7 linked regions of the Rattus norvegicus genome follow. The protein of the gene in region 4 interacts with the protein of the main gene of each other region in a biochemical or structural test. Links are inferred from orthologs where the notes say so. Each region holds a gene or a part of one and is shown on either strand. Other genes may lie near its edges. The genes, in order: Abl1, Rad54b, Sem1, Rad51, Evl, Sumo1 and Rad51ap1.

What was found.
Region 1: the proteins of Rad51 (region 4) and Abl1 form a complex in vitro, tested with the Homo sapiens proteins (2 studies listed by BioGRID). The link is inferred for Rattus norvegicus from reciprocal best matches to the Homo sapiens genes RAD51 and ABL1.
Region 2: the proteins of Rad51 (region 4) and Rad54b form a complex in vitro, tested with the Homo sapiens proteins (2 studies listed by BioGRID). The link is inferred for Rattus norvegicus from reciprocal best matches to the Homo sapiens genes RAD51 and RAD54B.
Region 3: the proteins of Rad51 (region 4) and Sem1 form a complex in vitro, tested with the Homo sapiens proteins (2 studies listed by BioGRID). The link is inferred for Rattus norvegicus from reciprocal best matches to the Homo sapiens genes RAD51 and SEM1.
Region 5: the proteins of Rad51 (region 4) and Evl form a complex in vitro, tested with the Homo sapiens proteins (2 studies listed by BioGRID and IntAct). The link is inferred for Rattus norvegicus from reciprocal best matches to the Homo sapiens genes RAD51 and EVL.
Region 6: the proteins of Rad51 (region 4) and Sumo1 form a complex in vitro, tested with the Homo sapiens proteins (2 studies listed by BioGRID and IntAct). The link is inferred for Rattus norvegicus from reciprocal best matches to the Homo sapiens genes RAD51 and SUMO1.
Region 7: the proteins of Rad51 (region 4) and Rad51ap1 form a complex in vitro, tested with the Homo sapiens proteins (6 studies listed by BioGRID and IntAct). The link is inferred for Rattus norvegicus from reciprocal best matches to the Homo sapiens genes RAD51 and RAD51AP1.

What each region holds. Positions count from the first base shown.
Region 1 is NC_086021.1:35,471,587-35,475,086, reverse strand, and holds part of Abl1 (tyrosine-protein kinase ABL1), read right to left. Parts: intron 2,668-3,500; coding exon 2,515-2,667; intron 982-2,514; coding exon 892-981; intron 397-891; coding exon 232-396; intron 1-231. UniProt on the Homo sapiens protein: Non-receptor tyrosine-protein kinase that plays a role in many key processes linked to cell growth and survival such as cytoskeleton remodeling in response to extracellular stimuli, cell motility and adhesion, receptor endocytosis, autophagy, DNA damage response and apoptosis.
Region 2 is NC_086023.1:29,881,465-29,884,964, forward strand, and holds part of Rad54b (fibrinogen silencer-binding protein), read left to right. Parts: intron 1-242; coding exon 243-468; intron 469-2,170; coding exon 2,171-2,378; intron 2,379-3,500. UniProt on the Homo sapiens protein: Involved in DNA repair and mitotic recombination. May play an active role in recombination processes in concert with other members of the RAD52 epistasis group.
Region 3 is NC_086022.1:35,655,663-35,659,619, forward strand, and holds the start of Sem1 (26S proteasome complex subunit SEM1), read right to left. Parts: upstream 2,801-3,957; 5' UTR 2,674-2,800; coding exon 2,598-2,673; intron 1-2,597. UniProt on the Homo sapiens protein: Component of the 26S proteasome, a multiprotein complex involved in the ATP-dependent degradation of ubiquitinated proteins.
Region 4 is NC_086021.1:126,560,710-126,564,209, reverse strand, and holds part of Rad51 (DNA repair protein RAD51 homolog 1), read right to left. Parts: intron 1,845-3,500; coding exon 1,707-1,844; intron 1-1,706.
Region 5 is NC_086024.1:133,237,119-133,241,346, reverse strand, and holds the start of Evl (ena/VASP-like protein), read right to left. Parts: upstream 2,801-4,228; 5' UTR 2,313-2,800; coding exon 2,308-2,312; intron 1-2,307. UniProt on the Homo sapiens protein: Ena/VASP proteins are actin-associated proteins involved in a range of processes dependent on cytoskeleton remodeling and cell polarity such as axon guidance and lamellipodial and filopodial dynamics in migrating cells.
Region 6 is NC_086027.1:68,600,004-68,604,194, forward strand, and holds the start of Sumo1 (small ubiquitin-related modifier 1), read right to left. Parts: upstream 2,801-4,191; 5' UTR 2,760-2,800; coding exon 2,748-2,759; intron 1-2,747. UniProt on the Homo sapiens protein: Ubiquitin-like protein that can be covalently attached to proteins as a monomer or a lysine-linked polymer.
Region 7 is NC_086022.1:161,448,560-161,452,059, forward strand, and holds part of Rad51ap1 (RAD51-associated protein 1), read right to left. Parts: intron 1,978-3,500; coding exon 1,891-1,977; intron 1,484-1,890; coding exon 1,331-1,483; intron 300-1,330; coding exon 138-299; intron 1-137. UniProt on the Homo sapiens protein: Structure-specific DNA-binding protein involved in DNA repair by promoting RAD51-mediated homologous recombination.

The sequences.
Region 1 (3,500 bases), about 91 Mb from region 4:
ATGCCCACAGGGCTGTGAAGAGCACAGCAAAGGTGGATGTGCTTTCTTGGCAGGAGTCCCAGTTTTCAGCTTGTCTAAGCAACTGCTGAAAGGCTCCCCTGGGCAAGAGGCAAATCTTCTTCCCTGGGCTGGACCACTGAGGAGGGACTGATGCCCTCTGTGCCAGGCCCACTGACGGCTTCTGCTTGCCTGCCTGGTTTGAGGGGTGAGGGATGGGAAGGGCGGACGTACCGCTTTCGCCCAGGCCCTTCGTGTGGAGCAGTTCCAGGGCGTCAGGTGCATCTTTCTGCTCAGCGGTTTTCCTGCAGGTTCTGGTCTTGGTGGGCAGCTCTGGGGCCTGCAGGGTGCTCCCGGCGGCTCCTCTCATGCCTCGTTTCCCCAGCTCCTTCTCCACCTCTAAGGACCACATAAACATAACCCAGTAGTCATCAGCAAAGATGCCAGATTGCAAGGGATTCTTTTTTCTTTGCTCTTTTTCTAATTTATTTTAAAGTTACTTTTTTTATGTGTATGGCATTTTGCCTGCAGGTATGTCTGTGTACCACATGGGTGCAGAGGCCAGAAGCTGGTAATGGATCCTCTGTGACTAGTGTCGTGGGTTACCATCATCTGGGTGCTGAGAACTGACCCCAAGTCCTCTTAGCCACCATGCTAGCTCTCCAGTTCCTGGGATTCTCTTTTTCTTAAGATTTATGCAGTTAGAGAAAAGGAACACAAAGCAGAAGAAACAGCTCTTGGCATGTTCTAGAACTCTGCATGCCTGCACCTGACAGACACAGAGCCACCACCAAAGCCTCTGAAGAGTGCTGTCTGGTACCAGGTCTGAAGTGAAGGCTTGTCCAGCCTCAACCCAACCCTCAACCCACTGCAGGCCCCTGGGAGGCATGTTACCGTCTGAGATGCTGGACTCCTGGAACATGGTTTCAAAGGCTTGATGGATTTCAGCAAAGGAGGGCCGATCAGAGGGGTTCCACTGCCAACCTGGACAGAGAAGGCCACGTCAGAGCAGCCGGAGAGCATCGCTAACAAACCAGAACTAGCCACACCCAAGGAGCAGTCTGGACATGAAAGAGGCATTCCAAGCCTGCTGATGGCTGAGGCTGGGACAGGCTAATGGCAAAAACTCCTGTGTCCTCTGACAGACACTAAGAATTAAGAAGACATCATATACAGGCAGTAATACTGTTTGCAAAATCCCAGAGACACCGATAATAAAAACCACATCTATAAACATTTCTCCAAACCCCAGTGATAGACAGGGAGTTAACAAGGCAACAGCCTGCCTCGGTCACCATCCTTACTGATGCTATCAGTGTCTACCGTCCCCATTAGCACAGACGAGCATCTCTCTTGCTTCTTTGAGATTAGACCTCATTACTGTCTGGGCTGTTTGACAAGCAATACTCCTGCCTCAGCTTACCTTGCACTGAGACCACAGCCTGTATCACCAATAGCATGACAACGAGACTAAAAGGACTAGGGCTTGGAGAGGTGGCTCAGCAGCTCAGAGCCTTGCTGCTCTTGCACAGGACCCAGGTTCAGTTCCCAGTACCCATGGGACTCACAACCGTCTGCAACATCACTGGTTTGTTATCACAGCACAGATTCTTTGGACCTACGGCCCAGCTTTTAGGAATATCGTGCTACATGTAGAGACGAGGCTAATCGTGTGTGTCTGCCTTATACGCAGCAGCAAACACAGGGCCACAAAATGGCACACTCTGCCAAGACTGATGCTAAGTTTGACCACTGGGATCCACACAGTAGAAAAAGAGAATCAGCTCTTCAAAACTGTACACTGTAGAATGCATGCCCCATAAACAAACAAACAAAATAAATAATAAAAATATAATTAAAGCAAACAAGTGTGTAAAATATGAGTGGATGCTTCAAACTGTTAACTGAAATGCTAGACAGCAGCATTAATGAAGGTAGGGAACATGGTGAGGAAGATCTAAGTATACAGACAGCAGCACTATATGCTAGGAAAAAAAGGTGAGGGAATGATCACATGAACACATGATACAGCCATGTGCACACATGCACACCACACAGATGCGCTCATACACTCGCACAATACAAACACCAGAGTTCTATCATCTGGAGCGATTTGTAGCCAGGTATTTGGAAGCAGGACCTAGGGATCTGTACTAATAATACCCAGGTTGACATCTAACCCTCTCTATGCTTAAAGAACTTAAAGCGACCTGGGCATGGTGACTCATACCTGTAGTCCTCGAGCTTGTGTGGTTCAAGCAGGAGAGTCACTGTGTAGTCAGGGCTACATAGTTCAAGACCCTGATCCAAAACAAAAACCAAACAAAAACCAAAACTAGCTGTCCCAGAGGGAGACAAAACCAACCCAGAGGTACTACATCTGGGAATAAGCGCACGGAAGACTCAAAGTCACACTGCATGGATGGCTTGGGAACACAGGGACAGAGTGCCAGGGCCCACTGGAATGGCTTTGTGCAATTTCCTCAGAGTAGTGCTGAATGGGTTGGGGAGGCTCACATGCTCGCATGAGTTCGTAGACTTTCTCTGGGCAGCCTTCCGGGCGCTCCATGCGGTAGTCTTTTTCCAGCAGCTCATAAACCTGAGACAGGTCAATTCCCGGGTAAGGTGACATGCCATAGGTAGCAATTTCCCAGAGCAATACTCCAAATGCTGAAAGAAAGAGGGAGAGGAAGACTATCAGGGTGTGTGAGCATTGGCCAGTGAGGTAGCATCTGCACAAAGCTAATGACCTTTCAATCCTGAAACCCGGCATAAAGGTGGAAGGAGAGAAGTTGTCCACAGAGTTGTGCTCTGACAGTCACATGTGTGCCATAGCATGCACACAACCAAACAGACATATCACACACATACATACCAAAACACCCAAACACACACCCCGCCCCCAACACACACAGGACATACAGGCATTTTCCACGCTGTGCAGCAGAGAGACCTGCAGAGCAGTCCCAGCATTGACAGTTACCAGGCTCTCCATGGTAATAGCCTAGGAGAGGTAGGACAGAGCAAAGCTGTTTACTCAAGCTACTCTAAAGCATGCAAGGGAGAGAGGGGAAGGTGAGCCTCCTGGGGCACAGGGTCCCCCTCGGGTAGGCAGCATAGGGCTCTAAGTCAGCTGCCATGTTCTGAGCATAGCTCTGTGACTGTAGCCACATGCCTGTCGGGCCGTGGGTTGTTTGAAGGTGAGATTACTTCCAAGGTCCCTTCCAGCTGCAACAGTTTGTAAAAATCTTGTGAACTGTCAAAGTCGTGGCATCCTTCTTCCCACTAAGAACCAGGATTCCTTAGAAAAACAGGTGATTGAGACCTAAGACAGGGAAGAAGCCCGGACTATCTTGTTCCCTGGAGCACAGATATTGTGGAAGACTACAGGGTACTGTCAAAGGACAAGGAAGGAGACGGCCAGAGATGAGGAGAAGAAGCACAGTATACTGGAACACAGGAATGTGTCAACAAAGAACTCAGAGTGACACCACAAAACACTA
Region 2 (3,500 bases), on a different chromosome or scaffold from region 4:
CTAGTGACAGTAATAGAGGTTTTATATTCAGATTTTTAACTTCAGATTCATGTTTTGGTAATTAGTTCACAATACATAATGGTTATAATTGTTAAAGACTCAAAACTGGTAGGATGTTATCAGCTAGATGAAACACTAAACTAGTCTGCAGGGTCATTATTACCAGTTTCCTGTTCTTGATGATATCAGGGCATGAAACATTTTCCCATTGTGATTCAATGCAGTTTAATTATTTCTAACAGAGCAGTTGGCAAATGTGGTGCCATTCTTGCTGATGAGATGGGATTAGGGAAAACCCTGCAGTGTATCTCGCTCATCTGGACCCTCCAGTGTCAGGGGCCTTACGGGGGCAAGCCAATAGTAAAGAGGACACTTATTGTTACCCCTGGAAGCTTGGTGAATAATTGGAGAAAAGAATTTCAAAAATGGCTGGGAAGCGAAAGGATCAAGATATTCACTGTTGATCAGGTAAGGGGTTTTTAAAGGTTTAAGTCCTAAATGTTCTTAAAATAGCTAGCCTTTTAGCTTAGTATAGTTCTTAGCTTTTTGAGTGTGTGGAATTCCACAAGCCCCTTGCATAGAAATGGAGTTTTGACCTACATTTTGATTTTGAGTTGTTACCAGATGATTACCTTTGGTTCCCCAGAGTCACGTGTTCAGGTGTTGACTCTCAGTGTGCAAGTGTTCATTTTCTTGTCATGTGGTTATGCACTGCCATAAGTTGGGAACGCAGCTGGGCATATGTCTATAATCCTAGAATTTTGAAAGTTCATACAAGAGGATCCAGAATTTGAGGCCAACCTCAGCTATACAATGAGATCTAGCCTGTTATATACATAACTACATATATGTGTTATGAATTCATGTAATATTTTGTACATTATAGTTTAGCCTAATTTACTTTAAATGTGCTTAAAACAGTTATATTAGTTTGTACCTCAAAAAACTCAGGTTTTATATGTGGGCAGGTGAATCAAGATGACACTGAGTTGGATTACTGGGGACTAAGAAGTTTATTAGAAGTGTTGTTAATGACTTAGAGAGACAGAGACAACAGCGTGACTCTGAGGAGAGTTCGGTCCCCAGCACAAAAAAGCATCATGGCAGTGTCTCTGAAGAGAATCAAAGTCCAAGGGGCAGAAGAAGAAGTCTCTTTATAACTTTTCAGGAGGAGGAGGTTCATAGGCAGGAGGCATGGAGTGGGTCAGGGACAGTATGGGAACCCCTTTGTTGTAGACTCACTAGACAACACTTGTCAGCTGAGGTGCCATGGTGAGACTGTTCACAGTCAGTGTGGGGTGGGGGGCTCAGCAGAGACTGGCTGCTAACATCGTCTGTAATCACCTTACAAAAACCTATTTTATAAGAGGGTGTTGAATATCTTTTTTGTTTTTCTGAATATTGAGAAAACAGAATGGCTTTATGTACCATTTTCAAATCAAAATACCAGAAGTCAACCATCAGAAGTCACTCAGGAGCTTGTAATGCTTTAGGAGATAGGGCATTGGAGGGTGGCTAGGATTAAAGTCATAAGGATGGAGCTCTGTGGAGATTAGTATGCTGGTACTAAAGGAAGGGAGATGAGATAGATCCTCCCCTCTTCACTATGAGAGCCACACTTCCCAGTGAAACTCAGGAGAAAGGGAAGGCTTTTTATGCTAACAGTCGAGGTCTTACTAGTCTGGCTGTGGTCTGGTTGGTATTACCTGAGACCGTTGTGTTATGGTCAGCTCCATGGGGCTTTGGCGATGCCGAGGAGGTTCTGTTGCTGGGTGTGCGGGTGTAATTTTGTCCTTTGACTTAAGAGATTGTCGTGGGATCTAATGCAGTTGTAGGGGAGAGAAACCCAGGAGAGCTCAGAAGGAAGGAAAAAACAAAATGAGTATACCAGAGTCCATGGCTGCAGCCAACTTCACTGATGGGCCGGTCTTGGCTTCCCATCCCAATGAGAGGTCATTGCTGTTGTTCAAGCCTTCTTAGTGCAGCCCAACAGGACCAAGACAGGAAGGGCTAATGTGATAGCTGGTTACTGGTTACTGGCTAATGTGATAGCTGGTTACTGGTTACTGGCTAATGTGATAGCTGGTTACTTGTGGGCAAAGTATGTTGCTTAGATTTGATTATATAGTTTCTGTCTATGGTTTGTTAACTATTATTTTTTTCTCTTTAGGACCATAAAGTCGAGGAGTTTATCAATTCTGCATTTCACTCTGTTCTTATCATCAGTTATGAAATGTTACTTCGTTCTCTAGATCGAATTAAGACCATAACATTTGGCCTTCTGATTTGTGATGAGGGGCACCGGTTGAAGAACAGTGGTATTAAGACAACAGCAGCCCTTTCTAGCCTCTCTTGTGAGAAGAGAGTAATTCTGACTGGTTAGTAGTCACATTGGGGAAGATGGGGTGGAATTTTTGGTTAATGAACCTTTACAGTCTGTAATCTGATGCTTAACATAAAAAGAACTGGCGATGTTGGGGGAATTCATATGAATAAGCCTATGTTAGTTGATTATCAGTCTTCAGATCCCTGAGCACTTTCCTGCAGCCCTGTTTCTGCCTTTTGAGGAATGAATTTAATGTATCATAGCAAAGCATGAGGCTGATGGGGCTGGACTGGGCGTGCTTGGTTTCTCAGTCTGCCAGTGAAGTGCGCAACTTGGGAAAGTAATTAACTTCTTGGCTCCTCGATTTCCTTGTCTGTGAAATAGAGATAATGGCGTCATGTTACAGAGTTGTCCTGAGGCCCAGAGGAGTTGATCCCTGTGAATGTAACTCAGTTATGTGGTAGACATTTTGTCTTGCACACGCAGCCTTGTTTTATCTCTGCTTCGTGTGTATATGTGTGGGTGTGCACATGCTTTGGAGGTCAGAGGGCACCTTATAGGAGTCTGTTCTATACTCCCACTGCGTGGGTCCCAGGGATGGAACTCAGGTTGTGAGGCTTGGCCATGACTCTTTCCCTGCTGAGCCATCGTTCTGGGCCTGTTTTTTGTTTTGTTTTGTTTTAATCTAGTCAATTAAAGTTGAAAATAATTTTGGCATCAAGTATCATATATACTTTGATGCCAGTGTTTAGTAGATAACCAATCAATGTTTCTATGTAATAATAACATAAAAATTGGATAGTAGAGAAGCTGGTGTTTAGTACTTAGAAAATTCTCTTTTAAAGGAAATGGAATTGGAGAAATGCGAAGCAGAGTCTAGGTGATTCCCATGTCTTTGAGGAACAGAGAGGAGTCTTCCGACTTCATGCTCAGCCTTGGGTCTTGAGAGCCTTTAGACTGGAGGAACAATGGGAAAGGGACTGGATTTGGCTTTACTATGTGGTTATTTTTCCTCCCCATTCAGCATGAGGCTAGTATTGCAGCTATAAAACAGAAAAGATTAGCTCTGGGGGGTGGGGGCAAGATGGGTGTGAAGAAGGGCTTTGGAAAGAACGGCAGGCACTGAGACAAAGTTCTTTCCTCACTCACTGGACTTCCCAGGAGTGGGCAGCCG
Region 3 (3,957 bases), on a different chromosome or scaffold from region 4:
TGTGGGAGGAGTTGGAGCAACAACACTCCCAATCGACACTGTGAAAACAATTCAATGACTTGCCTGTGACAAGCTCTACAGTGTACAGTTTGCACACAACCCAGAGAGTAGTCTGCTCACTATGGAGCGCTCTCAAGTAACAAAACCCCTGGAGTAAGACATCCTATAATGGCAGAGACAGCTCCAGATTGGCTTAACAAGAAAATGTTTCATTTATTCTATAAATGCGTTTATCAGTGGTATATTTTTCATAAAGGGCCATCACAAGAAAAAACAAAAAAAACAAAACAAAACAAAACAAACAAACCAAAAAGGAATGGGTTTTCCAAAGGAAAAGCACTTGAAAGTAAAATAAGGGTACAAAAAACTTAATAGAAAACTCAAATACTGAAAGATGCAAATTTTAAGAAGTGTTTCTAACATCCCCTCAAACAATGCAAATGCCAAGACTGCTGGTCCATGAAACCGTATTTCATCAGCAACAGTAGATCTATAGCATGACAAAACCAAAAATTTGAAAGAACATGGTTAGTCTCAAACAAAGAAAGTTCCTCAGTTTTTTTGTTTTTGTTTTCTTTTTAGGTTTTCTTTCCTTTAGTTTGTAATCAGTTTTTAATTTGTAAATACTTAGTAATTTCACCGAATTAATTATATATCAAAAATCTCCCTAATTTAAATTAAGGCTATGTAACTGTTAACCAGAAGAAACATACATGTGCATAACAAATTATTTCAAATGTTACTTCTCATTTAAATGTAAAGATTCCTCAACAAACTAGACTCTACATTCTCACAGAGACAACAAATTTGGAAGATCAATAAATGACACTGCATTTACACTGTCTCCTGTGCATTCTTTTGTCTTTAGAATATTTTTCCTTAACTTCAATAGAATGTTTAAACACAATACAACTGTCAACACTAAAGAGACTACTACTCAAAATACAGGCTTTGAAGGACAGACACTACACTAAAGTTGACAAAAAGTGCTGAAAAAAATCTAGTACACTGTCAAGCTGACAGTTACTTCTAAATTCTTTTGCCATCTAGTTATTTTAAATAAATACTTGCACTAAAGGTAAGGGTTAGAATCTGGGTGGGTGCATTGGTCAGGAAGGCCTCTTAGATTCTGAGTTGGCCACTTAACGGCAAGAGTCATGGTTTGTTTTATTTATGTGAACTCTACTGCTTCAAGATTGGATGTTGAACTCTATTCAATGCAAAGCAAGTGTCTTAACTGTGTAACTTGTATATAATAATAAAGAGCATCTGAAATAAGTAGTTAGACTAAGAATCTAACCTTCCCTCACTTAGCCAATTTTACCACAAAGCTCTATTTAGATTATTAATGGGCCTGAAAACATCAGACTGGACAGATAAATTCATTACCTAAACAAAAGGTAAACTATCCCATAATATATTATAGACTCCTAACTGGGAGGAAATATATCTTCTAAATTGGTTTTTGAGGTTGCATAATATATATATATACTAATGTTCTCTTTCACTAATATTAAAACATTGCATTATCCGCAACAGACTAAATGTTCCTGGGATGTGATTCTATGCACCCTGAGACCAAGGTGGGGTAACTAAGTACAATTTTTGCCAAGTGATAATTGCTTGATGCCATATGTGCCCACGACTACCCACAATTCTCTTCCTACCACCTTCAGAAAGGCAACAGTATAACTCGCTTTTTAAAAAGGGGGTAAATATTTGGGAATTCTACTGAAAACAATTAGTCAATAAAGTAATCAATTTAAAACATGGCCAAAGGGGCCCAGCTAGCAAACAGAAGGTAACTGTTAAACTTAAGGACTTTGGTGTAAACTAAGTCATCTCAGTTTTATCAATTCCAGTTGACACTGGGCCTGTTTTTCAACTGTTCCAAACTTCCGTTTCCTTATGTGAATAATGGTAAACACATTAGTATCTACTTCTTATATTTGTGGAAATGGATTGTGGCGATACAAGTGAAGCACTTACATTCCCAAGATCATAGAGCAAACTCTTCAACATTAGCTATATATATTATCTACAATGAGACAATTAAAGCATCCCTAGTATTGAAGTTAGTTTAGAATGCAGATGTTTAAGAGTTTTATAAAGCTTGGGTTAATTCAAGTGACCGTAAATGGAGAGGAAGAGAAATTGAGGCAAAATTTGTAATAAGTATACCACACAGGACTCTACCATCATACTTCAGAGGGCTCATTCGCGCTGTCCTAAGAGTAGACAGCACTGTCTGTCTGGGGCAACAGTGGGATTCTGAAGTTTAATACCAAGGGGAGGCTGTGAAACCCAAGGAAAGCAAGAGATTGTGTAGATGCTTAGAGTCTAGGGCTGGAGTTTAAAGGCCCAACCTCGCGGCAACGAGGGCCCAGCTTCACCTGGTTCCTCCCAGCGACAAGGAACAAAACACTGGGCCGCGCCTTGAAGCGACGGCTACCGGGACTCCGAACCCGAAGCCTGGACACCCGGAGGCCGTGCCGGGATCCGCGCGGCTGGGCACAGCTCATCCCCGCAGACTCAGAGAGCAGGCCCGACGCCGCCCCACCGTAGGCCCCGGTCCCAGCGCGCGGCCTGGCGGTTACCTTCCGCGGGAAACTCCTCGAACTCGTCGTCCTCTTCCAGGAGACCCAAGTCGACAGGCTGCTTCTTCTCGGACATAGCGCAGCGCCAAGCCCCAACAACGCTCAGAGATCGACCACAAAGTTGGAAGCCTCAGTACTAGTGAGGCGCCGATACTACCAACGCCGGCGCAACCATAGAGACTAGAGGGGAAGAGCTACAGGGCAGCGCGAGGAATGCTGGGACACCGAAGGTCCTCCCAGAGCTTCCTGCGGGTGTAGCCGGTCCTCCTGTCTTGAACCAGCGAACTGTTTTGTTTTATAGTGTTCGTTCGTTTTATTATTCATGTACTTGTCTACGTGTGAAAGATTTACAATGTGTAAAATTAGTAAAGAACAATACTTAGCTTACAATCATGAACGGAAATCTAAAAAGATAAAGTAACATCAGCTAAGAGCCAGGCCCCACAACATACATTATTTCACTACTCAAACCTATTCCTTGAGCACACAGTTAAATATTTCCACATCACAGGAAACTCAGGACCAAAGGCAGGCGAAGTCACTCAATACTAGACAATCCTGACTGTGTTCCAACGTTTCCATTGTGCTGTGCCCCTTGGCCTTAGAATTGTGTGTGGTAGGGTCTCTGTGTTCTAACTAGTTGACAGGTTGATGTAAAAATTAAATGAAAAAGAAATAATGTAACGTTGTATTGTTGTTCAAAAGATATAATTTTGGTTTCTTTTTCTTTGTTTTAATTGTGGCACATGGAAAAAACAAGACAATGACAGATATAAGAAAAGCTAGTGCCTAATTTTTTTTGTCTTTTTCTTTTTCTTTTTTCTTTTCCAGAACTGAGGACTGAACCCAGGGCCTGTACTTGCTAGGCAAGCGCTCTACCACTGAGCTAAATCCCCAACCCCACTAGTTCCTAAATTAACCACATAGTAACATGTATTTGTGGAGCTTACAAACTATGCTCTATTGCATCTAAAGGAGTCTTAGATGAGGTACTTAATTTCTCTTTAGGGAAAAGTTTTCAATTAGCAATAATCGCGCCTCGGATAAACCTCATAGGCTACGATACTGCCACTGCGCAAAGCTTAATTTCTCTTTAGTATAATTTGTTTATTTGCAGCACCACAATCAAGATTATACATATAACATGCATAGTTATAGATGCAAATATAACGTTATTAGATAATATGAAAACTGAAGCAAGTCCGTAATCCCTACTACTCAGGAGACTGGAGCAGAAGGAATCCTTGGGTACAATATGAGTTTAAAATCAGCCTGGACAACTTAGTGAAACTGTGTCCCCAAACTAAAAGTAAACAGAGGGCTAGAAATATATCCCCAGTGGCTCACTACCCGGTGACAG
Region 4 (3,500 bases):
TGGTTAAGAGTTCTTGTTCTTACAGAGGACCCAGGTTCAGTTCCCAGAACCCACGTGGTAACTCACAATCACCAAAACTCCAGAGCCAGGGACCCACTACCTTCTTCTGATCTCTGCAGGCACCAGGACATGATGCACATATATACAGGCAAGTGAAATACTCACACACGTAAATTAAATACATCCTAAAATCATCCATGTATTTAGAATTTGAATGTCAGCATGAACTTACATAAACCAGACTGCTGAGATTACAGTGTGTATCACCATGCTTGCCTTCAATTTCCTTCTGTCCCCCCCCCCCTTTTTTTTGAGACATGGTCTCACTATGTAGCTCTGGCTGTGAGGGAACTCCGAGATCCACCTGCCTCTATCTCCTGAATGCTGGGATTAAAGGTGAATAAAAAGGGTTGGGGATTTAGCTCAGTGGTAGAGCGCTTGCCTAGGAAGCGCAAGGCCCTGGGTTCGGTCCCCAGCTCAAAAAAAAAAAAAAAGGTGAATAAAAAGTGGAATTTTGGGGGGGGGGAGGGGAGGAGAGCTGGTGCCTTTGATCTTATATTTGGCAGAGAAGAGTCTCATGTTTGAGTATCTTCTCACACATCCGTCCCAAGGCCAGAAAAGGCATACTGGTAGCCCTCTAACAAATCTCTATATTGAAGCTTAAAGGAAGTTGTAAGATAACTCAACATAGGTGCTGGAAACTAAGCTCAGGTCCTCTGCAAGATCAGATTATACTCTTAACCACGAACATCTCTCTAGACCCTTCACACTGCACCCCAGCCCCCGGAATATTACGTATTAATATAGGTTAATAAAAACATTAAGAGGTACTGTGGATGTGCACTGTTATCTTGGCATTTCAGTGGCTGTTGAGATGGAACCTATGACTTTGAGCATGCTTGAGTCACCATGTGACTTTTATATCAACATTCTACCAATATCATTCTCTTTCCCCCTCTCTGGTGGTACTGACTATTAACTGGAGCCTAGCACATGCTAGGTGAGTACTTTCCACTGAAACATGTACTCAGCCTCTCTTTCTACAGTTTTTTTTTTTTTTTTAAAGATTTATTTATTTAGGGCTGGAGAGATGGCTCAGCGGTTAAGAGCACCCGACTGCTCTTCCAGAGGTCATGAGTTCAATTCCCAGCAACCACATGGTGGCTCACAACCATCTGTAAAGAGATCCGATGCCCTCTTCTGGTGTATCTGAAGACAGCTACAGTGTACTTATATATAATAAATAAATAAAAATTTATTTATAAAAATTTATTTACACAGACCACAACAGCATATACATAACATAATAATTTTAAATATCCCTCTGAGGTGAGATCACATTCAAAATGATAAGATAAACAACTTTACTGTGGGCTGGTGGGAATGTGTTTTTGGCAGTATTTATATCAATTTCCACGATACTGCAATTCTCCACAGGAAATAAGAATTTAAAATAAGGGGCTGGGGATTTAGCTCAGTGGTAGAGCGCATACCTAGGAAGCGCAAGGCCCTGGGTTCGGTCCCCAGCTCTGGGGGGGGGGGGGGGGGGGGGAGATTTTAAAATAAAAGCTGTCAGCAGTCACTTCCAGAATGGAAACCAGGTGACAAGGGGGAGGAAGGGGACTAAGGACCAATCACTGTACAGCACCCTGTACTAATTATTCTCACTAATGCCTCCGCCTCTCCGCCATCACATAGGTACTTACCAGGATTTTGTCAGCTTTGGCTTCACTAATTCCTTTAATATTTATCAGTTCCTTCTTTGGTGCATAAGCAACAGCCTCCACCGTGTGGTAACCAGCTTCTTCTAATTTCTTCACATCATTGGCATTTATGCCACATTGCTGTAAGAAAACAATGAATAAAGTTAGGTCTCTTGTCTAATGCGGATATTAATTAATTACACTCAGAGACATGTTTGAAGATCACAAATATATGCAAAACCCCTGAAAAGTTTGACTACACATGAGTTATTAATAACAAATTAAAGGCATATACCTTTAATACTATCAGGTGGAAGACAGAGGCGGGTGGAGCTCTGAGTTTGGGAATAGTCTGGTCTATAGAGTAAGTTCCAGGATAGCCAGGGCTGTTACTCCCCCCCCCCCCCCAAAAAAAAAACCACTGTCTCAACAAAACTAAAACCTGTTAATGGCTTTTTTTTTAAACTCCCCCTCCCACCTGCTAATGGTTTTTTAATAAGTGTGTTACAATTTTCCTCTTAAGCCAGCTAGATCCCAAATAACTAAGACTGGACTGTATTTTTATTTACCAAATCTGTAATGACATGACAACTTTTTTATTACTCTATTTTAATCCTCTATGCTAATCTGGCCACTTCCGAGCCAGAATCTCGGAGATACTTGCATTCTATGGCTTTCTCCGCTCTAGTTGTTTTCTCATGGTGTCTCCTAGACTGTCTCCCCATGGCTAATTCCTACCTCCTCTCTCTGATGCCCTCTCCCTTGGATGGAAGGAAGGAAGGAAGTTCAGCCCCATCTTCTCTCCTGCTCAGTCATTGGCTGATTGACTAGCTTTATTGACCAAAGAATAAATGGGAGCAATGCTCATACAACACTGAGGCAGGAGATAGAATACTGTAACTAGATATGGAAGCTCAGAAATCAACATTTGAATTACATAGTACAAAAATATCATTATGTCTAAAGAAAAAAAACCCCAAACACCAAATTATCAATGTTTTCATTATCAAAGTTATAGTTTTGGGCTGGAGAGACCGTGAGATGTGGCAGTGTTTACCATCACCTGGGGAGGCAAGGGCAGGTAGACCCTTGAGACTCACTAGCCAGGCAGCCTAGTCAGTGAGCTCCATACCAAAAACTGTCAACAAAACAAACAGAAACAGATGAAAGAAGGGGATGTGCTGGGAAGAGAAAGGGATCAGTAGGAGGAGGGCAAGTGAAGGTGACAGGGAGCCAATCAATACATCATAAACATAACAAAACATATCATTATGCAACTTAACACAGGCTAATTTTAAAAAAAATCACACATACACACCCCCAACACACACACAAAAGGAGGCCCTGGGAAACAGGCGTGACTTTTGGGCCAGCCTGGGTTTCCAGCACCCACATGGTGCTTATAACTGCCTTCACCTCCAGTTCCAGGAGGATCTGAAGCTCATTTCTGACCTCTCTGGGCTCTAGGCACAGAGGTGGTGTACAGAGTCATGAAAGCCAGACACTTATATACAAAAAATAGTAAATCTAAAAATTAAAAAGTAAAATACAACACACAAAACGACAGGTAATACTGGTTACACACCTATAATCACACTCAGGAGGTGAAATTAAGATTAGCAATCAAGGTTATTCTCATTTACACAGTGAATTCTAGGCCATGCTAAGTTACATGAGACCTAGTCTTTTTTTCTTTTCTTTTTTTTATTTTTGGAGCTGGGGACTGAACCCAGGGCCTTGCTTGCTAGGCAAGCTCTCTACCACTGAGCTAAATCTCCAACCCCGAAACCTAGTCTT
Region 5 (4,228 bases), on a different chromosome or scaffold from region 4:
CTCAAAAAAAAAAAAAAAAAAAAAAAAAAAGCCAAAAACCTAGAAGCAGACAAAGCAAGCCCCACTCTCCTGACATCTGAAGCACGTTACATAACATAGCAAGTGACTCCTCACCAGAAACAGTCAAGTCAGACTACAAGACAGCGTGAAAAGCTGGAGCCAGGGGAGTGCTGAGTTCCGAAACTAACCAATGAAAGGAGTGTTTAAAGTGGAGGAAAAGGTTCTAATGGTAATGGTTGCAGAGCTCTGTGGACAGTCTAAAAACCATGAACTGCATGCTTCCCTGGATGCTTTGTGCTATGAGTTATATCTCAATAAAATTGCTTATAAACCAGAGGAAGGTGAAGGATAAACATTTTCAAACAAAGTCTAACAATCTGCTCCAGCAGAACCTACACTAAAAAATACTAAAGGGACCAGGCCGGCAGTGTACACTCAGAATCCCAGCAGATAGGAGATGGTTAAGTTCCAAGTCAGCCTGAGACCCTGCTCAAAAACAACAAAAACAAAGACACAGGAGATGGTTTCAAGGATAAACTGCTTCCCATGCAAGCTTGAAGGTCTATCCATATAACCCATATCAAAGTAGGTGGGTGTGGCAGCCTCCCTACAATTCTGTTAGAAGGAGACAGGACCACAGATGGTTAGTGGCCAGCTGTGGGTTCAACTGAGAGACCCTGCCTCAATGAAGAAATTGGAGAATAACTCCTAATGCTAACCCCAGGCCTGGGTGTGCCCCCGCCCCTACGGAATGTATATGCACACATGCACTCATATACATAAAAGATACAAAAAGCAGACAAGCAAAAGCTTCGGATAGCAATCATTGGATGCGTGCAAGACCCTTGCCTTGGTCTGATACACCCAACATTGCGATAGGCAGAAAGACAGACACTAAAAGACGTTCTTCAGACAGATATGACCCCAAAAGGAAGTCTGAAAGATGACAAAGGTGGCATTGCAGCTGAGGGAAACAGTGAGCTTGGTAAACGATGAGGAATAAATCATGATAGGTAAATGTGAAAACAGTTCCTTTTACACATTACACAAAAACCAGTTCCAGGTGGACCATATTATTTTATATAAAAAGCAAAATATTAAAATTTCTGCAAAATGTTAGCAAGCTATCTTCTTCACTTACGAATAGTAACTCTACCAATTAGGAAGAAGACAACCCCTCACGCTAAAACTGGACAATATTTAAACAGACACTTAATTTTTAAAAAATGCCAAACATACACAGATGGACAATCAGCCTCTTCAGTCAACCAGAAACTGCAAATTAAAACCCTGATGGAATGTCACTTCACACTCACCAGAATGGCTAAAATTTCATCAGACAATACCAAGGGGTGTCAGGGATTTTAAACAAGGGTTATTAAATGTTTGCTGGTATAAACTGGTAACATGACTTTGGGAATTTTAGTTCTATCCACTACAACAAAAGATGTACATGATTTTATGTTTAAAAAAAAAAACCAACAAAACCAACAACAACCTGCTTGTGGGTAGGTAGAATATATATTCATTAGAAATGAATGCTTTTGGCATATTCGCCGAACGGTTAATAGCCCAAAACAACCCAAAAGTCTACTAACATTAGCAGAATGGATAAAGTGTGGACTGTCTACACTACGCAGGACAGTAGATAATAGAAACCTGATGGATGAACTTCAGAAATACCTTGGATGAAAGAAGGCAGACACAAAAATTACATAATGCATTATTGAATTTATACAGTTCACAAAACAGGTGAAACGAATCTACAATTGGACACTACAGTGTTTTTAAGAAAGATGTATCTAGAAGATAACATTGCACAGAAAGAGAAAAAAAAAAAACCGGCATACGCTGCCATGCGCCCCGCCCCGCCCCCCACCCCACCCCAGAAAGCAGGCTAAGGTTAGTCTGGAAAGGAAACCTGGGTGCAGCAGCGATGAAGAGAGCACGGGAGTTTCTGGGTGTTGACAAGGTTCCGGCTGAGGGGCACATCAAAAGCCGTACCTTTTGGGGGTTACACAATGTGCGGGTTTGCAAGAGAAAGGGGACAGGTCAGAAAGAAAGGTGATGATGAGAGCGCCCTGATGGAGATGAGCTACAGAAGCCGAAGTGAACAGGACCGCCGCTGAGGCGCTCACAGCCGGCAGACAGCACAAGGCGGGCGCGGCCTCCCGCGGACCCCGGGGCCTGACTGTCTTCTGGTGCTTGGGCCGCCGGCTGAGGGTTCCGGTGCCCCCTCGATGCTCGGACACCCCGCCCTCCACGCCCGGCGCTCCAGGCCTCGCCGCGCTCGAGGCCCCTACTCACCTCATCGTGGCTGCCGGGCGGGCACGGGGCCGGGGATGAAGGCGCGGCGCGACGGGGCGCTAGCGGGGCAGCCGGCCCCGGGCGCGGCGGCTCCGCGTCTGGCTGGGCTGCAGGCGGCGGCGGGGGCTCATCTTCTCCGGCGGGCGTCCGGGCCGCTAGCTGCGAGGCAGCGCGGCCGCGGCGGCGGCGGCGACTGACAGCTGGGCCCCGGCCCCTGCCATCTTGGCGGGCGCGCGTGCCCGGGCCGGCGCGTGCGCGTGCCGCCCGCCAGCCGACGGGCCGGGGGAGGGGGCGAGCGGCGGGGTCTCGAGGGCGGGAGCGAGAGCGCGCGTCCGCCTTGAAACTCGGGGCGGCGGCGGGAGGATGGGGTGCGGGGTGCACGCGGGGCGGAGGGACCCTCCGCCCGCAGAGGGGACTGCGCGCGCCGACGGCCCTCGGTCCGCGGCCGCGGAGGGAATGGGTGCGCGCCGCAGAGAAGCTCCACACAAAAGGCGCGGGGCTCGGCGGTCCGCGCCTCTAAGAGGGCGGAGCGTGAGGGGGCGGGACAGGGGTGTGGCCCAGGTCCAGAGGGGTGGGGCGAACCTTTGTGGAAAGGGTGGATGGGCCATGGAGTCTGGGGGCAAGACAGGGGGCGTGGCCTAAGGTCCCAAAGGAGAATTTGGGAGAAACTGTAGTTTGGAGGAACAGGTTAACTTAGTGAATTCCAGGATTTTTGTTTGCAAGGGAAAGATTCCGGGCGACCTTTGCGGGAAAGCTTCGGGATCTTAGGTCTAGGAAAGGCCTGGAAGAAGGAGTTAGTAGGGAGAAACAAAGCCGAGCTCCACCGAAAAGCCTGGAGGGTCGTGGGTTTAGGGCTGGGGATTGGGGCGTAGACCTGGAGCTAGGCGGGCAGAGTGGGCGGAGACCCCACAGAATCCCTGGTGGTGGAGGAGCTGTCGAGGGAAGGGCAGGTGGAGAGGCTTAGGGCAAAGGGTGTGATTTGTGAGTCAAGGCTGAATGGGGGGAGAGTGTTGAGGCACATGGAGCCCTACTTGTACCAGCTTTCCAGTGCATTCAGAACAGAGCATTAAGGGCTGAAAGATGCAATCTTGAACGGATTCCTGGATCTGCAGTACTGTTAGCATTGCCTGAGGTCATAGTCTTCCTAACCGTATTGGTTCCCTTCTTCCTGGGATCTATATTGGTCTCTTGGTTACAGAAGAGCCTTGTCACGTGCTAAGAGTTGTGAAAATAGTGGGGCCTCAGGTCAACTGAAGGCATCCCAGGTGTCCTCAGGAGAGTCCTGGTTGCTGCATACCTTGATTCCAGCAAGGCATTGTGTTCTTCCTGCTTGTGGCCACCAATCGCCAGGTGTTTGCTCCTGGGATCTAACAAATTGCCATTCTGTGACTTGGAGGGCATAATCAATTGGGTTTGTTGTAAAGACACCGTCTTTCCGCCGCGCCCCCACTAGAATCACTGACACTAATGAGGAATCACTTCTCAAAGCCAAGGACTGGTGGCCTCCAGAAAGAAATCTTTTTGAGGTCACATGTTTCAAAAAATGTTAACCTTTTGTAACGTTTTGTATCAGAAGGGTGGAAAACACAAGTTCTTCTACTTCCGAGGAATAAAGCCTTCATTCTGATTTGCAAATAGAGGTTGGCTTCAGAAGTCTGAGTTCGGGAAAGGGGAAGGACAGGTGGGAATAGGGAGAAATGTGAGCAAGTCCCTTTCAGTCTGTTTCCTACTGACCTTGGGGCTTCAATTGAGCCCCAGCAGCCTGTAAGGTGAGCTTTAGGATTCCCACCTAATGGATGGGGAACTCAGGGAGGTTTGAGCATGTTTGGCATTAAATGTGGGGCCTCTGCTTCTGCAGACATTGTAAGGCTGGTTTAGAAAAAGATCTGCATCCTCCACAGGGAAGCAGGATACAGCAGAG
Region 6 (4,191 bases), on a different chromosome or scaffold from region 4:
TATAGAATGATCCTCATTCTTTGGGAAATCATGTACCAATGATGGGACCTATAGTACCTTCTTTTTAAAAAAACTGCATAATTCAGTGAATTCTCAAGGTTTAGGCATTAGATTGTGATCTATTTTAGATATAAAGATCCACTCATTTTAAACTGAAATTATGGCAAGACACAGTGGCATACACATACACCTGTAATCCCAGGACTCAGGAAAGTAAAAACAGAAGGATCACTGCCAGCCTAGATACACAGTGAGAGCATCTCAAAACAAAGAGAAAAGCTGAAACTATTACTCAATGTGACTATTTTAAGCACAAGATACAAGCTTCTAAGAGTTGCCTCAGAAAATAAAATGTGCATGGGTACTGGAGGGCATCTTGTATTCAAGTCAAGCACATTATCGAACCCCCCAACTTGAAAAAGTACCCTCTAAGGCCACCTTCTGAAGACAGCTCAGTCTCAGGCTGTTGCTATTACACACAGTACTTGGGGATTCCTACTCTCACTTATAAACCTCTTACAGGCAAGGATTCACTTAACCGTTTTCTCCAAATCTTTAACACTCAATACTGAACTTGTTCTGGGAACTAAGATTAATGTTATCCATCAGCCTAAAGCAACAGCTCCCAAATCCATTATCACACTCTCAATGATTTAAAAACCTATCAACCCAGCTGTCGTGGTGGTATACACTCTGGGAGGCAGAGGCAAGGCAAGGAAAATCTGAGGCCAATCTGATCTACATAGCAAGTTCCAGGACAACTAAGGCTACACAGAGAAACCCTTGACTTGAACTAAATAAACCCCTAAAATGTTAGATACATTTTTATTACTTTTTTTAAAGACAAAAATTTTAAGAGTAGCAGCACTATTTCCTATGCAAATTGCTTTAATGTGTAGCTCAATTTAAAAAAAAAGACTTGTTTTGCCAACTGTGGTGGTAGACATCTTTAATCCCAGCACTCAGGAAACAGACACAGGAGAAACTGAGTTCCAGGCCAGGAAAAGCTACATAGTTAAGACCCTGCCTCAAAAAAAAAGATTTGTTCTACTTTTTTGTCATGTTTCTAAAATTTTCATTGAACATCCATGATAGAATGAGAAACACACACACACACACACACACACACACACACACCAAGTGTGGCAGCATAACTCTGTAATCCCAGCTACTCTGCAAGGCTGAGGGAGTCCAAGTTCAAAGACAAGTGTGTTACAGTCCAACCTAGACAACTTAATGAAATGAAGTAAAAGGAGAAATGAGGGTTTAGTGCCTGCCTGGCAAGCACATGTGGGAGGCCCTAGGTCCAGCACCCAAAGACCCCAAGTGAGGTGAGAGAGTCCTAAGCAAGCATAGAGTGACTTTGCAGACTCCCTGAAACCTTGTGTCCTAGGGTCCTCTTTTCTTTCTTCATATCCTCACATAATGTAAGTTCAAACTAGAGCAAAACTAATCCTAAAACTTAAAACTCTTTCTGTATGTTGCCCTCTCATCTGGCTAACATGCTTTAAAAATAGAAGTCTGATGAAGCATAAGCGTTTACACAGCTGATCTCTCCTCTCTGGTAACTAAGTAAACAACTGTCATAAACAAATTATGGGCTTCATAAAGTCATTTCTAGCCCAAAAGATTAATAATCCAGATTATTAATAAGTAAATCCATCCCACAACTAATTTACAGTGTAGATAGGCTATAAAAATAGAACCACTATGGCCAGTCTGGGGTGGTTGCAAGCCTTTCATCCTCAGGAAACAGACAGGCGGATCTCTATAAACTGGAGGCCAGCCTCGTCTACAGAGGGAGTTCCAGGACAACCAGGCTACACAGAAAACCAACGTCTCAAAAAAAAAAAAAAAAAAAAAACCAACAAAAAAAATTTTAAAAAAGCTCAACTACAATGTAAAGTAGAATGAAAAAAGTTTGCTGAATTGTAACTAAAGAAGTAAAAATTAAAAAAAAAAAAAATACTCTGAAAATTAAGTCATCTGACCAAACAAAAGGAAAGCCAGACAAAAACCGTATGGATGGCATGTTGGTGGTGGCACTCTACGCAGTTTGTTGTTTCTCGGTTATTCTGAGCGCTCCTACAACTGGAGAGTTGATGGACCAATCCCGAGTAAGAAATGGAAAGTACAGAGAAAGAGTCGACCGCTCCGCACCCCCGGATGGAAAAATGACTCTGAAGTGGGCAAAGACGGACTGACCCTCCAGGCAAACACAACTGAAAAGCAGCGTCTCCTGGGTTCCCAGTCACCCCAAACAAGGATCCCTGCCCGCCCCCCACTCTCCGGGACCAAGAACCCAAAGTAGAATCGAGCTGCTTTTCAGGGCCACCTAGCCTCCCAGGCAGGGATTCTCTCCCGTTACATAACTGGGCCTAGGGCCTTGTTTCTGCCATCGGTCCTCTGAAAGGGAAACGGTCGTTTTCCCCCAGGTTGCTCTCACGGACAAGGGAGCGGGCCTGGGCCCCCAGCGAGCCCGAGAGAAACCTGGGAGCAGTCGAAAGAGACCCGGCGCTGGATGGCGTGGGGGTAGAGGCCTCCGAAAGGGCCGCGGAGGGTGCGTAAAACCCGGAGACCCTCGATCCCAGGCGGCTCGGCCCGACTCTGCCAGGCGCTCGGCGTCCCTCGCGGCCCCCTCCCCACCGGCAGCCCCCTCCCCCAACATCACCCCCTCCCCCCGCGCCCCATTCCAGGGGCTCAGCCAGCAGCCGACGGCCCTGAGCCCCAAGGCCGTGGCCCGGTACCTGGTCAGACATGGTGTCGGTGGATTCACCCGGGGGTCTCCGCACCACAGCGGCCTCCGGCAGGCAGAACCGCACTCTGAGGTTTACAAATCCGTCTCTTCTCCACAGCACAACACCGCGGCTGCAGGGACTTCCGCTACGTCTTGCGTCACTTCCGCAGCGCGCAGAGGAGAGTTTGGGAAGACGGGAAAGGGAAGCGGGAAAACGCCTTAGGGAATGCGGGAGATGAAATCGTCAAGGTTAAGCTACTTTCCTGGAGCAAGAGAACCGCTAGGTCTTCAGCGGGGCCGGGAAAACCGGCCCGCTGCCTCAGGCCTTAGGGAGACCAGCGCTTTGCCTGCAGGCTGTGTGTGTTTGGGGTCAAACTGACCGCTTAGGCTCCTCCCTGTTGGACATCTTGTACGCTTCTGAGGCCGGAACCAACTCTTCCTGAATATAGTGAATTCCCTGTATAATATCTTTATGGCCCCCTCTTGCTTGCTGCTGCCACATTCATGACTTTGATTACTAGAAATACAATAGTAACAAGTTTTCATTTTCTACAAGAGAGAAAGTGAAAGCGATTTGGAAGCCACTAGCATGTCAGAGTGAATGAAGTTAACCACAACGAGCTGAGTTATGGTGGCGTACTCCGAGTGATAGAGGCAAGCAGATCTCTGTGAGTTTGAGGCCATCTTGGTCTACAAAGTGAGTTCCGGGACAGCCAAGGCTACATGGAAGAACCCTGTGGGAGTCTAGGGGTGGGGCATGAAGAAACAACCCTTCCGGTCACATCTTTGGTTTTGTTTTGTGTTTTGAGGCAGGGTCTCACTAAGTAGCTCTGGCTATTATAGAACATTGCTAAGTCAACCAGACTGGCCTCCTCTTGCCTCTGCCTCCCCAGTGCTGAGATTAAAGACCTGGGCCACCACATCTCCAGCTCTAGAACAAAGTCTTGGTGGCTATAGATGACCAAAATGCTATTGAAAGTTGAAGTTGCAAGAGCTCCCTCCAGCTCATAAACTAGTTGCCTTACATCATAGACCTAAACATCTTCCTTTGAATACAGTGACCCTCTTGCACAAACATTCAGGGAAGATTAAGGTTATACTAAGTAAAGGGGGGAAAAATGAAAACTAAAGTAAGTCAAAAACCTTCACAGTACAAGACATTAATAAAATAATCTTTTCTGTAATTAGTAATGAGCCGATTATAAGTGGCCCAGCAATCAAAGAGCATTGGCTACTCTTCCAGAGGACTCAGGTTTGATTCCCAGCACCCGTATATGCATTCAAAAATGCCTATAACTCTAGTCCCAGAGAATCTGATATGTTTTTCAGCACTGCACCAGGCCTAAATGTGGTTCATAGACACACATTCGGACAGAAACACTCATAAAAATTAAAAAATTATTAACAATTACTAATGAAAATATGAACATTCACATCAAAAGAAGGAATTTGAA
Region 7 (3,500 bases), on a different chromosome or scaffold from region 4:
TAGCTTTTGTCCCTAGCCACAATTCCTTTTAACTAGACATGTGCATTAGCAAAATGTTAGAGGGCACAGGCGAAGATCTGGAAACCTAACAGACCCGACCCGACCCTGTAGAACAATGGGTTTGAGAGCAGGCTCACCTGATGCCTCCTCACGTTTGGGTTTTGATTTCCTTTCCTTCTTTTCTGCTTTGGGTTTCTTCTGCACTGGTTTCTTCTTTGTTTCTTTACCTCTTCTCACACCAAAGTCTTCATCGCTTTCCTCACTCTCATCAAAATCAGGATCACTTTCTGAATCTTCACCTAAAACAGAAATTACACAGTCTTTCTTGGTTTTAAAACAAAACATGAGACTTCTGTTATGTCATCTGCCATGGCCCCACGGTCACTCAGCACACTTAGAATGTCTTACCTCCATGAAAGCATGGTGCCTGACCTCAAACGTCAGCTCTCCTGACCTAACACCTCCCAGCATCCCTTTATAACCTCCACACTTCCTTCTCCTTTGTGGGGCTTTATTTTCTAGTCCTAGAGCTCAAACCACGGAATCCACACTTGCTGGACAAGTTCCGCTGGGCTGCCTGAGGCCCTTCAGTTTATATACCATCGCTTTAAAAACGTTACATAGGTGTTCCCTCCTGTGACACACTCATCAGAATTTGAGCTGTTTCTCTCATGACTGCTCCCTAGCGCCTAGACTATGACATATACCAAAAGCATCAAATATCTGTCCAGTGAGTGAGCACATCTGTTATTTGCTGATAGCGTGTCAAAATCTAAAACACTGTGTCTGATTGGTGTTAATGTACAGACTTACTCTTTTAAATTTTTAACACATTACAATTCTGTCATATTTTCCCTCTGCCCTTATTTCTATTAAGTCTGAAAACAACTGATAATAAAATAGTCTCATATTACTTTCAACTCAACATACTTCATACATTTCTACTAGTTATAAAAAAAGCTGAAACCTGTTGGAACAGGTCAAGGGTTGGTCCATGGCTAGTGACAGCCCAGCCTGCCGCTTCCGCCTCTTTCCTAAGTCTCACTGAGCTGGTTCTCGAATGTGCTAGTCTGTCTCAATGCTCACACCTTTCCCTCGGTCAGAAATGTGACTTCATTCTTTTGGTTTTTCTAATGCTGTTTGTTCAGATTTGGCTTAAAGGTTACCCCTAGACAGTTTCTCTCGATGTGGCCAAGCTCAATTTAACTGTTCTATGAGTTCTCCAGTTTACAAACTTCCAAGGCTCAATACAGTGCTTTGTGTCTACCCTGCTCTCCACGCAGTTTTTCCTGAGTTCCCGCAGAGTAACCCGAAGCAGGACACAGCTCACCAGTCGCACTGTCCGGCTCAGTGCCGTCAGCACTGCTGCCACTGCTGCCTTCTGAGAGCTTCCTCCTCTGCTGAGCCCTGGCTTTAGATGTTGTTCTCCTCTCTCCTTCAACATCTCTGACGTCCCCCTCCTCTGTGATCTTGTTCAAATCTTCTGGAGACACGAACACCAGTGAGAACTCCGGGCAGATTCCATGACCTCTGCTGCCCTCCTCTGCTACCAGTAACACACACCAGGCCATGGGCCATGCCAGGACAAAGTCTCCCAGGAACAGACTCTGGTTTTAAGGGTAAGTCTGAGACCTTAATGAGTCATAGCCAAAGAACTTTCCAGATGCAGCCCTTTCTTATGTGGCCACCGACTGTGGAATGAAGGGTCTGAGTAGTCACGACTGTCTAGTGTGGAAGAGAGTAGATCTGCAGTCAGAGAGAACCAGACTAAAGCATAAAGAAACAAGGGCCAGGATGGGGAGACTGTTCTAGCTATGGGTGTAAGAACTTAAACAAGTTAGAAAAATAGCACTGTGAGTGAAAAGAGCTGTCATTAATATCGAAACTTACCTACATCATCACTGGCTACACTGCAGTTAGAGACTCGAGGAGGTTTATCTGTCTTTTCCGTTTTCCTTTTGCCGGTTGTGTCAGTGCCTAACACAGGAAGAAAAGAACCTCAGCCGCATCCCAACCAGTCATTGTCTAAAAAGCAGGAAGATGATCCCTGAAACACGCTAACACATATTAACACATAGACGGGAACAAACCACCTCAAAGTCATACCTGCCCAGATGTTTTACCTGGAGGAGCCAGCACACACTGTGAGTGCGAGCTCTACAATGACTCAGGTTCACAGTCAGCCTCCGTCTGTAAACCTGCTCATCGTCTCTAGATCTAATTCCTGGTCTATCATTTGAAGATAATAAATAAGTAATATCACCCTGTGTGGACGAATCCACAGTCATGCTGACTTAAGCTCTGTGGTGGCCGGACTGTCCCTGTAAGCTCACATGAGCACTTTTGGGATGTGGAGCCCTGCTGAAGGCAGTAACTCACTGGAGGCTGAAGAGGTTAGGCTCAGTCCCTCTAGTCTGCTCTTTATCCTCCTTGAATGTGAACAGAAATGTGATCAGCCAGCTTTCTGCTCCTACCGCCATGGTCCCCACCACAGACTCTCTGGAACCACAAGACAAAATAAACTGTCTTCTATAAATTGCTCTTGGTTATGGTATTTTATTACAGCAACTGATATAAACGCTTTCCAGTCATTACAACCTAAAAATGATACAATGCTAGAATATTCGTACTGTAGGTGGGCAGCCTTGGATTTCAGCCCTAGCACTCACTATAAAACAAAACACAACCAATTCCAAGTATTTAGGAGACTTAAATAATGATATTGACAACATTAAGTCCCTGTGTAATGAAGAGCATTACTCAGTGAGAAGTACCAATTCCAAGGAAAATTCCTGCTCTAGGTTTCCATGTCTTCTGCAATGAATTCTAGTCCTTTGATTTTAGATATAGCACATAACAACACTCTTAAAATGTCTGATTCCTGGTTAATAGCCTTCCTAATAATAATGGTTTATTTTTAGAGATAAAAGTAACTTAAAAAAATTAAAAGCTACGCCCATTCTGTCACACATACAAAGTTACAGAAAAAACAAAATCACAGAGAAACTTAGAAGTCACAGTCTCACTCTGAAGTCTGAGCTTTCAGAAAGGTTTTGTTGTTTGTTTCTTTATGAGACAGGGTCTTACTGTGTGGCCCTGACTACCCTGGAACTCACTCTTTAGACCAGGTTGGCCTCAAAGTCAGAGATCCATCTGCGTCTGCCTCCCAAGTGTTGGGGATTAAAGGCCGGCACCACCACGCCTGGCTAGCACCTCCAGTATCTCACAAATTATTCCTATTAGGACACGTTCAAGAAACCTGGATTTAAAGGGAAAGGAAGTGAACTGTTAGGACTATACAGATAACTTCATCAAGACTGGACTCTTACCGCACAGCAGCAGCTGCCGCACAGGGCAAATCCTATCCTTTAGGAATGAAGCAAAGAAACGTATGTGTGGGACACTGACACAGTCGAATAAAGAACTGAATCCAGGGTGACTGCTGCCAAGTGCTCTTTTTATAGATTAAGCTGTGTTCCTTCCTCTGTGAGGGCCTACCT